Anolis sagrei: one gene and its partner. The protein of the gene in region 1 interacts with the protein of each later gene in a pairwise test. Links are inferred from orthologs where the notes say so. Each region holds a gene or a part of one and is shown in the gene's direction. Other genes may lie near its edges.

What was found. The genes of interacting proteins can lie anywhere in the genome.
Region 2: the proteins of EXOC1 (region 1) and SH3BP5 interact in a two-hybrid assay, tested with the Homo sapiens proteins (2 studies listed by BioGRID and IntAct). The link is inferred for Anolis sagrei from reciprocal best matches to the Homo sapiens genes EXOC1 and SH3BP5.

The regions. Positions count from the first base shown.
Region 1 is NC_090025.1:73,465,808-73,473,249, reverse strand, and holds the start of EXOC1 (exocyst complex component 1), read left to right. Parts: upstream 1-4,396; 5' UTR 4,397-4,494; intron 4,495-7,442.
Region 2 is NC_090026.1:80,094,297-80,101,682, reverse strand, and holds the start of SH3BP5 (SH3 domain-binding protein 5), read left to right. Parts: upstream 1-4,376; 5' UTR 4,377-4,553; coding exon 4,554-4,655; intron 4,656-7,386. UniProt on the Homo sapiens protein: Functions as a guanine nucleotide exchange factor (GEF) with specificity for RAB11A and RAB25. Inhibits the auto- and transphosphorylation activity of BTK. Plays a negative regulatory role in BTK-related cytoplasmic signaling in B-cells.

The DNA.
Region 1 (7,442 bases):
AGCATCACACAATATAACTGTCTGCACTTTAAATGTTACTGCTGTGAAAAAGGATATATGCATTTCTGCAAATTTTGTGTGGCATTATTAAAATGACATTACACCTTGTTTATACATTGAGCAATTGTAGCTCAGGCACCTTTATATTGCGTTATTACAATAATAGTCTGACACCATAGCAATTTAAAAAATATTATTTTCTTTCAATTGATTGGAAATCAACCAACATGAATAGCCCTTGTCCCAAAACATAAAGTCCAGTTTCCAAAAGTGCTTGGGAATTTGTTATGGGTTTGCTGTCAGATTGCAGGTGCAGAGATGCTATTTGTAGGATCTAGAATTTCCTTGTAATATATGTTTTTGGCTATCCAAAATTATTTACATGGGTGGCTAGGATGTTGATCCATTTGATTTCAGATGGTTCAATGAACACAAACATTGGTAAATGTAAATAACACCAACCTCTTCAAAAATGTCTTAATGACTGAAATAGTTTAACCTTGGAGTTACTGAGCTTGCCCAACTTGCCAGATTGCATTTGGCTTCCTGAGTATTTGAGATAATAAATGCTTTACACAGGGATGTTATACAAACAAACATGTGGCAATATCTGTTTTATTTTATTTTTTAAAAACCCACAATAGATCTCAGTAATAGAGCCAGGGTGGTGTAGTGGCTTGAGTGTTAGACTACAACTCTCAAAAACCAGGGTTTAAATCACTACTTGGCAAATTACACTCCCTTAACCCCAGGATGGCAATGAATGACAAACCCCTTCTGAATGACTTTTGTGATTGGACAACATCTAAAATGACCAAAGGTCTGGAGACCATGCCTTGTGAGGAGCATCTTAAAGAGCTGGGTATGTTTAGCCTGAAGGTTGAGAGGAGACATGATAGCTATGTATAAATATGTGAAAGGATGTCATAAGGAAGCAGGCTTGTTTTGAAACCCTTGAAATTAGGACTAGGAGAAATGGGTTCAAATTACAGGAAAGGAGATTCCACCTGAACATTAGGAAGAACTATTATGCCAGCTCTACTGGTTGCCGATCTATTTCCAAGCACAATTCAAAGTGCCGGTTTTAACCTTTAAAGGTCTAAACAGTTCTGGTCCAGACTACATGTCCGAACGTATCTCCTACTACAAATTATCACAAAGTTTAAGATCATCTGGAGAGGCCATGCTCTTTATCCCACCGCCATCGCAAACGCGATTGGTGGAAACGAGACAGGGCCTTCTCAACAGTGGCTCCCCATCAGTGGAATTCCCTCCCCAAGACATCAGACTGACCACCTCCCTCCTGCCCTTTAGAAGGAAACCCAAGCCTTGGCTGTGGGACCTTGCACTTGACCATTGAACAGCGGCTTGTATGAAGAAGACATAGGCAATTTCAAAGTGACAATGAATGGACACGGATTTTAATTGGTGTGTTTTAACAACTGTTTATTTAATGTTTTGTTTTAATGAATGTGTTGATTGTTCTTATCATTATAATGGCACTGAATGGTGTTTGCTGTGAGGCCGCCCTGAGTTCCCCCTCGGGGGTGGAAGGGCAGGGTACAAGTATATGAAATAAATAAATAATCTTCATAACTGTAAGAGCTGTGGAACTCTCTGCCTTGGAGTGTGGTGGAAGCTCCTTCCTTGGTAGCTTTTAAACAGAGGCCGGATGACCATCTGTCGGTGGTGCTTCGATCATGTTTTTCCTCCATGGCTGAGGGTTGGATTGGATGGCCCATGTGGTCTCTTCCAACTCTATTATGTGATTCTATGGTCCTTTCTACACAGCCATATAACCTAGGATATCAAGGCAGATAATCCACAATATCTGCTTTGAAGTGGGTTAGAATCATAGAATTGGAAGAGACCTCGTGGGGCCATTCAGTCCATGAGGTTTCTGCCAAGAAGCAGGAATATTGAATTCAAAGCACCCCTGACAGATGGCCGTCCAGCCTCTGTTTAAAAGCTTCCAAAGAAGGTGCCTCCACCACACTCTGGGGCAAAGAAATCCACTGCTGAACAGCTCTCACAGTCAGAAAGTTCTTTCTCATGTTCAGGTGGAATCTCCTTTCTTGTAGTTTGAAGCCACTGCTCCGCATCCTAGTCTCCAGGGAAGCAGAGAACAAGCTTGTTCCCTCCTCCCTGTGACTTCCTCTCACATATTTATACATGGCTATCATGTCTCCTCTCAGCCTTCTCTTCTGAAGGCTAAACATGTCCAGCTCTTTAAGCCACTCCTCATAGGGCTTGTTCTCCAGACCCTTGATCATTTTAGTCGCCCTCCTCTGGATACATTCCAGCTTGTCAATTTCTCTCTTCAATTGTGGTGCCCAGAATTGGATACAATATTCCAGGTGTGGTCTAACCAAGGCGGAATAGAGGGGTAGCATTACTTCCCTAGATCTAGACACTAAACTCCTATTGATGCAGGCCAAAATCCCATTGGCCTTTTTTTGCCACCACATCACATTGTTGGCTCATGTTTAACTTGTTGTCCATAAGGACTCCAATATCTTTTTCACACGTACTGCTCTTGAGCCAGGAGTCCTGTTTCCTTCATTTCTTTCATTCTTTTCTGTACTTTGGGAGCATGTAACGGGAACCCTCCTCCCTGTATGAAAATTAGCTGGACACGAAAGCAGTTGAGAGCCAACCCTGACTCCAAGCCTGGATTTTGGCACTATTTAATCTTTTTGTTACTCCCACAACAAACAAAAAGTAAACCCTCAGTCCCTAGAAACTGCTCTCCTCTTCCAAGAGAGCATCACTCTTCCTTACCTGGAAGTGGGAAGCCTTGTTAAAATGCCTTGGAATGGAAAGAGTGCATGGCTGACTGGCGTGGTGTAGCCTGGAAGAGAAAGTGTGTGTGCCTGCAGCCAAACACCTCCAAGAACTTGCTTCCTAGATTTGGAAAGAGAGTGGATGTGCAGGCCAAAATCCCATTTGCTTTTTTTTTGCTACCATATCACATTGTTGGCTCATGTTTAACTTGTTGTCCACGAGGACCCCAAGATCTTTTTTACACGTACTGTTCTCTAGCCAGGCCTCGTCCCCCTCTGTATCTTTGCATTTCGTTTTTTCTGAGTGGAGTATCTTGCATTGGTCCCTGTTGAACTTCATTTTGTTAGTTTTGGCCCATCTCTCTAATCTGTCAAGATCAGAGCACTGTCAGGCCATTATATGGCACTGTCAGGCCATTATATGCTAATCAAGGTGATCAGTTGTAACATTCACACCTAGCTCCAGCAGACAAGAGTCCTTTGTCCCACCCTGGTCATTTCACAGATATATAAACCATTTTTCCTAGTTCCAACAGACCTCACTACCTCTGAGGCTGCTTGCCATAGATGCAGGCGAAACGTCAGGAGAGAATGCCTCTAGACCAGTGGTTCTCAACCTGTGAGTCCCCAGATGTCGTAGCCTTCATTTCCCAGAAATCCTAACAGCTGGTAAACTGGCTGGGATTTCTGGGAGTTGTAGGTCAAAACACCTGGGGACCCACAGGTTGAGAACCACTGCTCTTCCTTGCCGCCCTACATAAGAGCCATGCGTGACTTAGGGCCTTTTACTCTCGCACTTAAGACCTGGCGTTTTACTAGAGCATTCGATCTGTTAATTCTTAATTTTTGTATGTATGTATTTTATCTTTTATAATTTAGCTGTAAATCGTCTAGAGCATTCTCGGATGGAGGGCGATTCATAAGTTATTAAATGATGATGATGATGCTCTAGACCATGGCCATATAGCCCGAAAAAACCTACAACAACCCAGTGATTCCAGCCATGAAAGCCTTCGACAATACTTCAACAATACACTGTCAAGATAGTTTTGGGCTAAGTGAGTCTACACTGCCATATATTCCAGTTTAAAGCAGATAATGTGGGACTTTATACAGCTGTATGGAAGGGGCTGAGGATGTCAAACTGCCTCCTTTGCAAAAGAGAAACTGCAAAAAAAAAAAAAAAAAGAGGCCTCACAACCTCTAAGGATGCTTGCCATAGATGCAGGCGAAACTTCAGGAGAGAATGCCTCACAGTGGTTCTCAACCTGGGGTTCCCAGATGTTTTTGGCCTTCAACTTCCAGAAATCCTAACAGCTGGTAAACTGGCTGGGATTTCTGGGAGTTGTAGGCCAAAAACATCTGGAGACCCCAGGTTGAGAACCACATGGCCATATAGCCCGAAAAAATCCTACAACAACTCAGAAACTGCATCCTTTGCTCCTTCCCGCAAGGCTCTGCCACGACCGGAAGTGAGGAGAGACACCCAGCACCGGAAGTTCCAATGTGCGTCCCTCTCTAGCGCCAGAAACTCGTCTCTCCCTTTTCCCCGTCTCCACAGTCTGCATGGACTTCCGCTTCCTTGCCCTGCCCACGCGACTGAAGCAGGCGCTGCGATTGGAAGACGGGGGATGGGGAGGCGGGTCTTTCGGGGCTGGGCGTGACAGGCGTCTCTGGAGGCAGCGGAGGGGCCTCAGTCCTGGCTCTGAGGGTAAGGAGAGCAGGGCGGGGAGGGAAGGGCCCTGTGCCAGGCCAGCCAGAGGGCTTTCTGTTGTAAAGCCCTTCCCCTTGTTTTCCTTTATCTTCTTCATCCTCTCTCTCCAAATGTGTGTTATGTTCGTTGGAGTCTTTTTCTCCCCAAGGTTTGCTTAGAAGAGGCCTTCCCTTCCTCTGAGGCTGAGAGGGTGTGACAGGCCTAAGGCCTCCCACTGGGTTTGCCATGGCCTTCACAGTGAAGAAATAAGGCATTTGACACCACTTGAACTTTAACTACTATGAAATTATGGGAGTTGTAGTTTTACAATGTCTTTAGCCTTCTTTGCCTGAGAGGGCTGGTGCCTCAACAAACTAAAAAAGATTGCATAACCATCTGCATTGATTCGACAGTATGGTTCTATCCATAATCCAACATTTATTTATTTCTAGCACTTTTACCCCGTCCTTCTCAACCCCCAAAGGGGGATTCAGGACGGCTTACACTTGGCAACAATTTGATGCCGTTACATATAACAATACAATAAAACAACAATTAAAACAATAAGTAAAGCATTAATTACAACCATAAAAACAGTAATGTCAGGCATATCACCATTCCAGTCGAATTCCACATCCAAAGTGCTATTATGCCTGCTGTCCAAAAGCCTGGTCCCAGAACCATGATTTTAATTTCTTCCTAAAAAAAACAGGAGGGATGAGGCCGATTTTATCTCGTTGGGAAGCGAGTTTCACAGACGGGGAGCGACAGCCGAGAAGGCCCTGTCTCTTGTCCCCACCAGATGCATTTGCAACGCTGGCTGGAGAAAAAGCAGGGCCTCCCCAGATGATCTTAAACTGCGAGGTGGAATGCGTTCGGACAAGTAAGCTGGGCCAGAACCATATAGAGCAGGGGTCCTCAAAGTAAGGCCCGGGGGCTGGATACGGCCCTTCAAGGTCATTTACCCGGCCCTCGCTCAGGGTCAACCTAAGTCTGAAATGACTTGAAAGCAGAAAACAACAACAATCATATCTCATCAGCCAAAAGCAATACCACACTTCCCATTGAAATAGTAATAAGTTTATATTCGTTGAAATTGTTTTTCATTTCAATTATTGTATTCTTTTAAAGTTTTTTTCCCTACTACAAATAAGATATGTGCAGTGGGCTTAGGAATTCATTCATGTTTTTTTCAAATTATAATCCGGCCCTCCAACAGTTTGAGGGACTGTGACGTGGCCCTCTGTTTAAAAAGTTTGAGGACCCCTGATATAGAGCTTTATAGGTCAAGACCAGCACTTTGAATTGTGTTCGGAAATGGACCAGCAGCCAGTGGAGCTGACACAGCAAGGGGGTGGTATGCTCCCTGTATGTCGTTCCAGTTAGTAATCTGGCTGCCACTCATTGGACTAGTTGGAGATTCTGAACAGTCTTCAAAGGCAGCCCTATGTAGAGTGCGTTGAATTAATCTATTCGGGATGTAATAAGAGCATGGACCACCGTAGCCAGATCAAGATACAGGTGCAGCTGGCGCACAAGTTTTAACTGTGCAAAAGCTCCCCTGGCCACCACCGAGATCTGGGGTTCCAGACTAAGCGATGAATCCAGGATCACTCCCAAGCTGCAAACCTGCATCTTCAGAGGGAGTGTAACCCCATCCAATACAGGCTGTAACCCTATGCCCTGTTTGGCCTTTCGACTGACCAGAAGGACCTCTGTCTTGTCTGGATTCAATTTCAATTTCTTAGCCCTCATCCAGTCCGACAGCTGCCAAGCACTGGTTCAAGGTCTGGATAGCCTCCTTAGTAATGGGTGGGAAGGAGTGACAGATTTGGACGTCATCTGCATACAGATAATATTGCACTCCGAAACTCCAGATGATCTCCCCCAGCTGCTTAATGTAGATGTTAAACAACATCGGGGACAATACTGAACCCTGAAGGACTCCACAAGACAATGGTTGTGGAGTCGAACAGGTGTCACCCAGTAACGCCTTCTGGGACTGTCCCTCCAGGAAGGACCAGAGCCACTGCAAAGCAGTACCTCCAAGTCCCATTCTTGTAAGGCATCTCAGAAGGATACCGTGGTCAACGGTATCGAAGGCCGCTGAGAGGTCCAGCAGAACCAACGGACACACTCCCCCTCTCAAGCTCCCGGCGTAGTTCATCTACTAAGGCGACCAGGGCTATTTAGGTTCCATGTCCTGGCCTAAAGCCAGACTGCCAGATATAGATAATCGGTGTCTACCAAGAACCCCTGGAGTTGTGAAGCCACCACACATTCCATGACTTTGCCCAAATAGGGGAGATTGGAAACTCACATTCAAACCACTACCCTAGGCATGGGAAAACGTTGGCCCTCCAGGTGTTTTGGACTTTAACTCCCACAATTCCTAACAGCCTACATTTATATGACACCCTATATTTGTGTGTGTATTAACATTTATTTAAAAACTGTCCATATAAAATATAGGGCCCATTTTTAGGGAAGCTCAAGGAAAAAATACAGGTTATGTAGCCACAAAATTCATTCATCTGAGTTACGGAGAGTTTGGTATGTTGAGTGGCTTAAAATAAAGGTGGAGAACTTCTGTATCTCCAATTTTTTTATTCTGGAAACTGAAGTCCCAAAATTTCTGGCAGTTCAAAGGGTTCCTCATGTCTGGTTAAATGTATTAATAGAAAACAGTTTAAATTGTTTTTACATCAGTGCTTTTGGCCTTTATAAATGACTAAAGATGATGTTTGCTTTAAAACATGATCAAGTCTGTCAAGTTTTACGACTAGGTTTCCCACATTGCCATACGTTCTGATTTTGTCACTAGTAGATGATACGGTTGAGATATCTGTAGCCTAAAATCAAAAGTTCAGATATTAAATTCTCTTGAAGTATTTAAATTTTACTCAGCCTCTGTTCAGTGTTTGCTTTATTGGGTGTGGGTGATAATGCTTAAAATAAACTTGAAA
Region 2 (7,386 bases), on another chromosome or scaffold:
GGGGGCCCATGAACCTTAAACCTTAAAAAAGTTTGAGGACCCCCGATATACCATCATCCCGACTTGTAGTGTTTATGCCTCTGTCGTTCATGAATGAATGCAACCCCCTTTTAAGAAGAGGGCAGCCCTTGCTATATCTTGTCGCCATGAGTTCCACAGTTTTCAATCACAGTGGCGTGGTTGTGATACTTTCAAAGGGATCACTGCTTTGTAATTGTAGAACTAGGATGAGCAAAGAGGAACTTAAAAGCCACCGAGAAATAACAAGATTGTGTGAGAGAAAGCAAGCCGTTCCTGTTTCTCAATAGCAGTTCAGTGGGTAGTTTTGAAATGCATGAGCTTGTCACAACAAACTGCGTAGCCACATCCTCAAAGAATGGCCAGAAAATACAGGCAGGTGTGTTGATCAACAACTTCGTTTTGGCAGTTTATCCCAACCTAAAGGAAGTCTTTTAAAAAGTTAAAGGGTCCTAATGGTTCTTTTAAGACCAAGCCTCGTCAAAATACTCTGCAATGGGATTTGACCATTTGATTATTGGGTTGCTGTGAGTTTTCTGGGCTGCATGGCTATGTTCCAGAAGCACTCTCCTGATGTTTTGCCTTCACCTTTGGCAGGCATCCTCAGAGGTTGTGAGGTTTGTTGGAAACAAGGCAAGTGGGGTTTATATATTTGTGGAATGTCCAGGCTGGGAGAAAGGACTCTTGTCTGTTGGAGGCAAGTGTGGATGTTGCAGTTGGCCACCTTGATTAGCACTGAAAAACTTAGCAGCTTCAAACTTGGCTGCTTCCTGCCTGGGGGAATCCTTTGTTGGAATGCTTCTGGAATACGCCATACAGCCCAGAAAAATCACAGCGACCCAGTGATTCCAGCCATGAAAGCCTTCGACAACGCAAACACTACAGAGATGTTAACCCTTCCCTAGGCTATCCAAAGCTCTCTCTCTCTCTCTCTCTCTCTCTCTCTCTCTCTCTATATATATATATATATATGTCTGGAGTTACACTTAAAATGTACCTGTTCCCACTTACAAATTCAACTTAAAACAAACATATAGAACCTATCTGATTTGTAACTTAGGGACTGTGTGTACATTTGTTTTTACATAGTGGTTGGAGCTCTGTGGTTTTTACCCCATTTGGATCCCCAGATGTTATTGAACGACAACTCCCTCTTTTTATTGTATTCTGAAAAGTCTTTATATATATATATATATATATATATATATATATATATATATAAAATAACCTTAAAAAAACCCAGTTTCTGAAGTATAGCAACTACTTTCAAAACAATTACCCAACAATTAAACAGGAAATAAAATTTTCAAACCAGGAATAGATTTTTTCCCTCCAGATTTTGTTAGATAGTGTTATCTGCTATGAGGACTGGGGATAATGGGAATTGCAACGTATTAAAATAGGCCTGACTAAAACTATACTATGCCCCTGTGTTTCAGAGGTGGGGGAAATTTCTAAGGGATTTTAAAACCAGACATCATCCCACAAGCCTTTTATCTCATTCCAAACCCCACACTCCTGATTAAACAGAGCAAACTGTTTCATCTGACCAAAATGTACTATATCACAACTTCCAGCTTTGGTTATAATGTCTAATTTATGAAGAAAACAGGACTTGTTGTTGTCGTCCAGCATCGGGAGAGAGCCACATAAAAAGACAGAACAAAGCCAGGGCCTCCTTAATAATAATAATAATAATAATAATAATAATAATAATAATAGCGAACTGCAAAGACCCTGGCACAAACCAGTAAAGGTGGTCCCAGTGGTGATTGGCACACTGGGTGCAGTGCCTAAAGACCTTGGCCTGCACTTAAACACAATTGGCACTGACAAGATTACCATCTGCTAGCTGCAAAAGGCCACCCTGCTGGGATCTGCATGCATTATTCACCAATACATCACACAATCTTTCCATCTTGCTCTTCCTTTTTCCTTCCATTTTCCCCAGTATCATTGTCTTCTCTAAGCTTTCCTGTCTTCTCATGATGTGGCCAAAGCACTTCATCTTGGCCTCTACTATCCTTCCCTCCAATGAGCAGTCGGGCTTTATTTCCTGAAGTATGGACTGGTTGGATCTTCTCACGGTCCAAGGCACTCTCAGAACTTTTCTCCAACACCACAGTTCAATTTTTTCTTCGCTCAGCCTTCCTTATGGTCCAGCTCTCACATCCATAGGTTACTACGGGGAATACCATTGCTTTAACTATGTGGCTCATAATAATAATAATAATAATAATAATAATAATAATAATAATAACTGCAAAGACTCTGGAACAAGCCAGTAAATGTGGTCCCAGTGGTAATTGGCACATTGGGTGCAGTGCCTAAAGACTTTGGCCTGCATTTAAACACAACCGGCGCTGACAAAATTACCATCTGCCAGCTGCAAAAGGCCACCTTACTGGGATCTGCACACATTATTCGCCGATACATCACACAGTCCTAGATACTTGGGAAGTGTCCGACGTGTGATCCAATATAAAAGCCAGCAGAGTGATCTTGTTTGCTGTGGACTCATCTTGTTGTTTTTCTAATAATAATAATAATAATAATAATAATAATAATAATAATTTTTAAAAAAGATTTTAACGATATATTTTAATTGAAATAACTTGGAATAAAAAGAATGAGCTTTGGCAATAATGACATTCAAAATTTTTTCCCCACCCATGATAAATTACATTTTTGCTATGTAGTCAATTTGTTATGCATCTCCTTAATCAGTAGGTTTTTAAAAACATATTTTCTTATGTTATAAACACAAATCAATAAGCTAAATTTCAAGTGTTACACATATAAATCCTGAGTAATTCAACAAATATTAAAGACATTATGCTAATTTACACTGGTGTAGATTACATTATCCCCACCTTCCCTCCTCAACCACAGTATATTTCTACTAATCTTGCAGATCCAGCCACTTGTAGAGTCTTTGTATTTTTTCTTTGATGTGATCGTTGGCTCTTCCATTTTTCACCCAGTTGAAGCAGACCTTCCATCTGTTTATAATTATCTTTTCTTCATCCATTCTTGGTGCTTGGTTAGTCATAATTCCCGTAATATCTAACAACACTCGGTCATACATATAATCATTCCAATTACTTAACGTCCATTTCCATTTGTCTTTCCATCCTCTAGCAATAATAATAATAATAATAATAATAATAATAATAATAATAATATATTTTGAACCTGCCCTCTCTCCCCGAAGGGATGCAGGGCAGCTTCCAATACAAAGACAAATATTCAATGCCATATACCAGTGTTTCTCAACCTGGCTGGGACCCTTGGGGGGGGGGGGGGATTGTGAGAGGATGTCAGAGAGGTCACCAAAGTCCATCAGAAAACACAATATTGTCTGTTGTTCTGTGTGGGAAGTTTGGCCCAATTCTATCATTGGTGGAGTGACCCCTTAATACAATTCCGCATGTTGTGCTGACCCCCAACCATAAAATTATTTTTGTTGCTACTTCATAACTGTCATTTTGCTACTGTTATGAATCATAATGTAAATATCTGATATGCAGGATGTATTTTCATTCACTGGACTGATATGCCCAAATTTGAATACTGGTGGGGTTGGGGGGGCGGGGTTGATTTTGCCATTTGGAAGTTGTAGTTGCTGGGATTTATAGTTCACCTACAATCAAAGAGCATTCTGAACTTCACCAACGATTGAATTGGGCCAAACTTGGCACACAGAACTGCCATGACCAACAGAAAATACTGGAGGGGTTTGGGTGGACATTGACCTTGAGTTTTGGAGTTGTAGTTTGCCTACATCCAGAGACCATTATGGACTCAAACAATGATGGATCTGGACTAAACTTGGCATGAATACTCAATATGTCCAAATGTGAACACTGGTGGAGTCTGGGGAAAATAGTCCTTGACATTTTGGGAGTTGCAGTTGCTGGGATTTATAGTTCACCTACAATCAAAGAGCATTCTGAACCCCACCAATGATAGAATTGGGCCAAACTTCCCACATAGAATCCCCATGACCAACAGAAAATACTGCGTTTTCTGATGGTCCTTAGTGACCCCTCTGACACTCCCTCGTGACCCCTCCAGCGGTCCCGACCCCCAGGTTGTGAACCACTGTTCTAGAGCCTCTTAGATTGTAGACAAACTACAAACCACAGCAACTACAACTCCTAAATGTCAAGGTCGATTTTCCCCAAACTCCACCAGTGTTCACGTTTGGGCATTGCCACAAACAGTCATAAAAACACTGCACAATAAAATTCCCTCGGCAGCAGGTGGAGCAGGCGACAGAAAGAGCAGCCGCAGCCCAAGAGTGAGGCTCAGTTCCTCCGCCTTCCTTCCTTCCTTCCTTAGCGGCACCTAGCGGCGAGGAGCGGGAAGCATAAGCAGCGCCGCAAAGGAGAGACAGAAGGGGAAAGGAGAGGCAGGCAGAGCGTGGCAGAGCGCTTGTTCTGCCGAAGGAGCGGATTTGGGGGGAGAAAGACCCTCTTCCCCCCCCCCCTTCCTCGCCCTTCCTCGCCAGAAAGACCCCTCTTGCGACCGACATGGAGCCTGCTGCCAGGAAGAACAAGGCGGAGGAGGGCGAGCAGCCACAGCAGCAGCCGCAGGAAAAGGAGGAGGAGGAAGAAGTGGACCCCCGGATCCAGGTAAAGGGGAGCGGGAAGGGGCTGCAGAGGACCCCTGAAGGAGACCCTTCCCCAATGGCTGCTTGCTGGGTGTGTTTTTGCGGCAGTGTCAGCGTTTGGATGAGCCTCCCCTTTCTTCTCCCCTTGCAGCCGCGTGCCAGTCCAGCCCAGTCTCTTGCCTTGGGGGCGTCTCCCTTCTCCCCCATTCTCTCTCTTTCTGGGGTTCGGGAAAGGAAGCCCCTCCAGGTATTTTGGACTTCCAACGGATGTTAGGAATGGTGGGAGTCCTGGAGGGCCCAGGTTTGCCCAGGCCTGGTGTAGATCCACTTAAGGTGCTTAGGCGTTAATAGGCAGCAAGCCTCATCACCAATGCCTCTTCCTTCTATCTCTCTATCTCTATCTAAAAATGTAATGTTCCTTTGTGGGGTTAACATAACTCCAAAACCACTGGACAAATTGCCACCAAATTTGGACAAAATATACCCACTACCCCTAGGAGTGACCATCACTCAAAACAATGGATTTTGTCATTTGGGATTTGTAGTTGCTGGGATTTACAGTTCACCTAAAATCAAAGAGCATTCTGAACTCCACCAATGATGGAATTGAACCAAGGACTCCCAAAACCAACAAAAAATTCTGGAAGGGTTTGGTGGGCATTGACCTTGAGTTTGGGAATTGTAGTTCACCTACATCGAAATGTAATGTTAGTTTGTGGGATTAACATAACTTCAAAACCACTGGACGAATTTACACCCAATTTGGACAGAATACGCCTAACAACCCAATGAGTGACCATCACTCAAAGACTCCCAAAATCAACAAAAAATTCTGGAAGAGTTTGGTGGGCATTGACCTTGAGTTTGGGAATTGTAGTTCACCTACAGCCAAATGTAATGTTAGTTTGTGGGATTGACATAACTCCAAAACCACTGGACGAATTTACACCAAATTTGGACAGAATACGCCTAACAACCCAATGAGTGGCCATCACTCAAAAAAAAAAAGATTTTATCATTTGGGAGTTGTAGTGACTGGGATTTATAGTACACCTACAATCAAAGAGCATTCTGAACACCCCCAATGATGGAATTGAACCAAACTTGGCACATAGGACTCCCAAAATCAACAAAAAAATCTGGAAGGGTTTGGTTGGCATTGACCTTGAGTTTGGAAGTTGTAGTTCATCTACATCCAGAGAGCACTGTGGACTCAAACAATGATGGATCTGGACTAAACTTGGCACAAATACTCCATATGCCCAAATATAAACACAGATGGAGTTCGGGGAAAATAGATCTTGACATTTGGGAGTTGTAGTTGCTGGGATTTATAGTTCACCTACAATCAAAGAGCATTCTGAACCCCACCAACAATTGAATGGGGCCAAACTTCCCACACAAACCCCCCAAGACCAACAGAAAATACTGTGTTTTCTGGTGGTCTTTGGTGACCCTTCTGACACCCCCTTGGGACCCCCCCCCCCAGAGGTCCCAACCCCCAGGCCTTAAGGCCATCCAGTCCAACTCCCTTCACCAGGGCAAGAAAACATATTAAAAGCCCTCCTGACAAAGAGCCATCCAGCCATATATAGATAAATAATATAGATAGATAGATAATTCACACACACACACTCATATGTATATGACAGATATAGTGTCATAGATTTGAAAGGGACTCCTAAAGAAGGACAACAGTATGTTCCAGAGTAGGCAAACTAGACAATCTCTACATCAACACTGACAAAGAAACAACAAGAAATACTGTTTATCCACAAGCAGAAAGAAATTACATATATTAGAAACCAACACTTTCTCATTACTTTATTTTCCAGATCACTAGACTGGGCCACAGCAACATGTGGCAGGGGACAGCTAGTCTATAAATAAAAATGTAATGTTCGTTTGTGGGATTAACATAACTCAAATACCACTGGATGAATTGACACCAAATTTGGATATAATACACCTATCAGGCCAAAGAATAACCATCACTCATAAAAACATTGAAAATCAGAACGTAAGGGACATAAAATCAAAAAAATAAAAACTACATAATAATAATAATAATAATAATAATAATACTTTATTTGTACCCCGCTATCATTTCCCCAAGGGGCTTGGTGCGGCTTACATTAGGCCAAGCCCACAATACATTACAACGCATGCACAGAACCACACACACACATATATATGCAAACACACATGTATACACATATATACAAATATATATACACACACAAAACACATATACATAGACATGGCCACAGCAATGCATGGCAGGGGACGTCTAGTAGCAGTATAAAATGTCACCACAACAGCTTGTCACAATGCTTGAAATCTGCAGCCTGAAGCAGCCGCCTCACCTGGGTCGGCTGCCCTACAAAGTGGACTTTTGTTGGAAATGGAAATAACAGGAAAGGTTAGAGTAGGACAAAAGAGATGCCACGTCTATAAGGTGCACTACAAGAACATTTGAAGGTGGCGCATGTATTTGTGAATGCGTATCCAGAAGAGACATGCATTGTCTTGCATCCAAAGTAGATATACACTTGGGAACAGGTGTAGTGAAAGCTCAGGAGCATCACAAGTGATGAAATGCATGTAATGACTTAACAACTATTTATTAATTTATTTATGGCATTTATAAACCTGCAGTTTCTCACCCCAAAGGGACTCAGAGCAGCTTATGATATATATATATATATATATATACACACACACACACACACACACACACACACACACATACA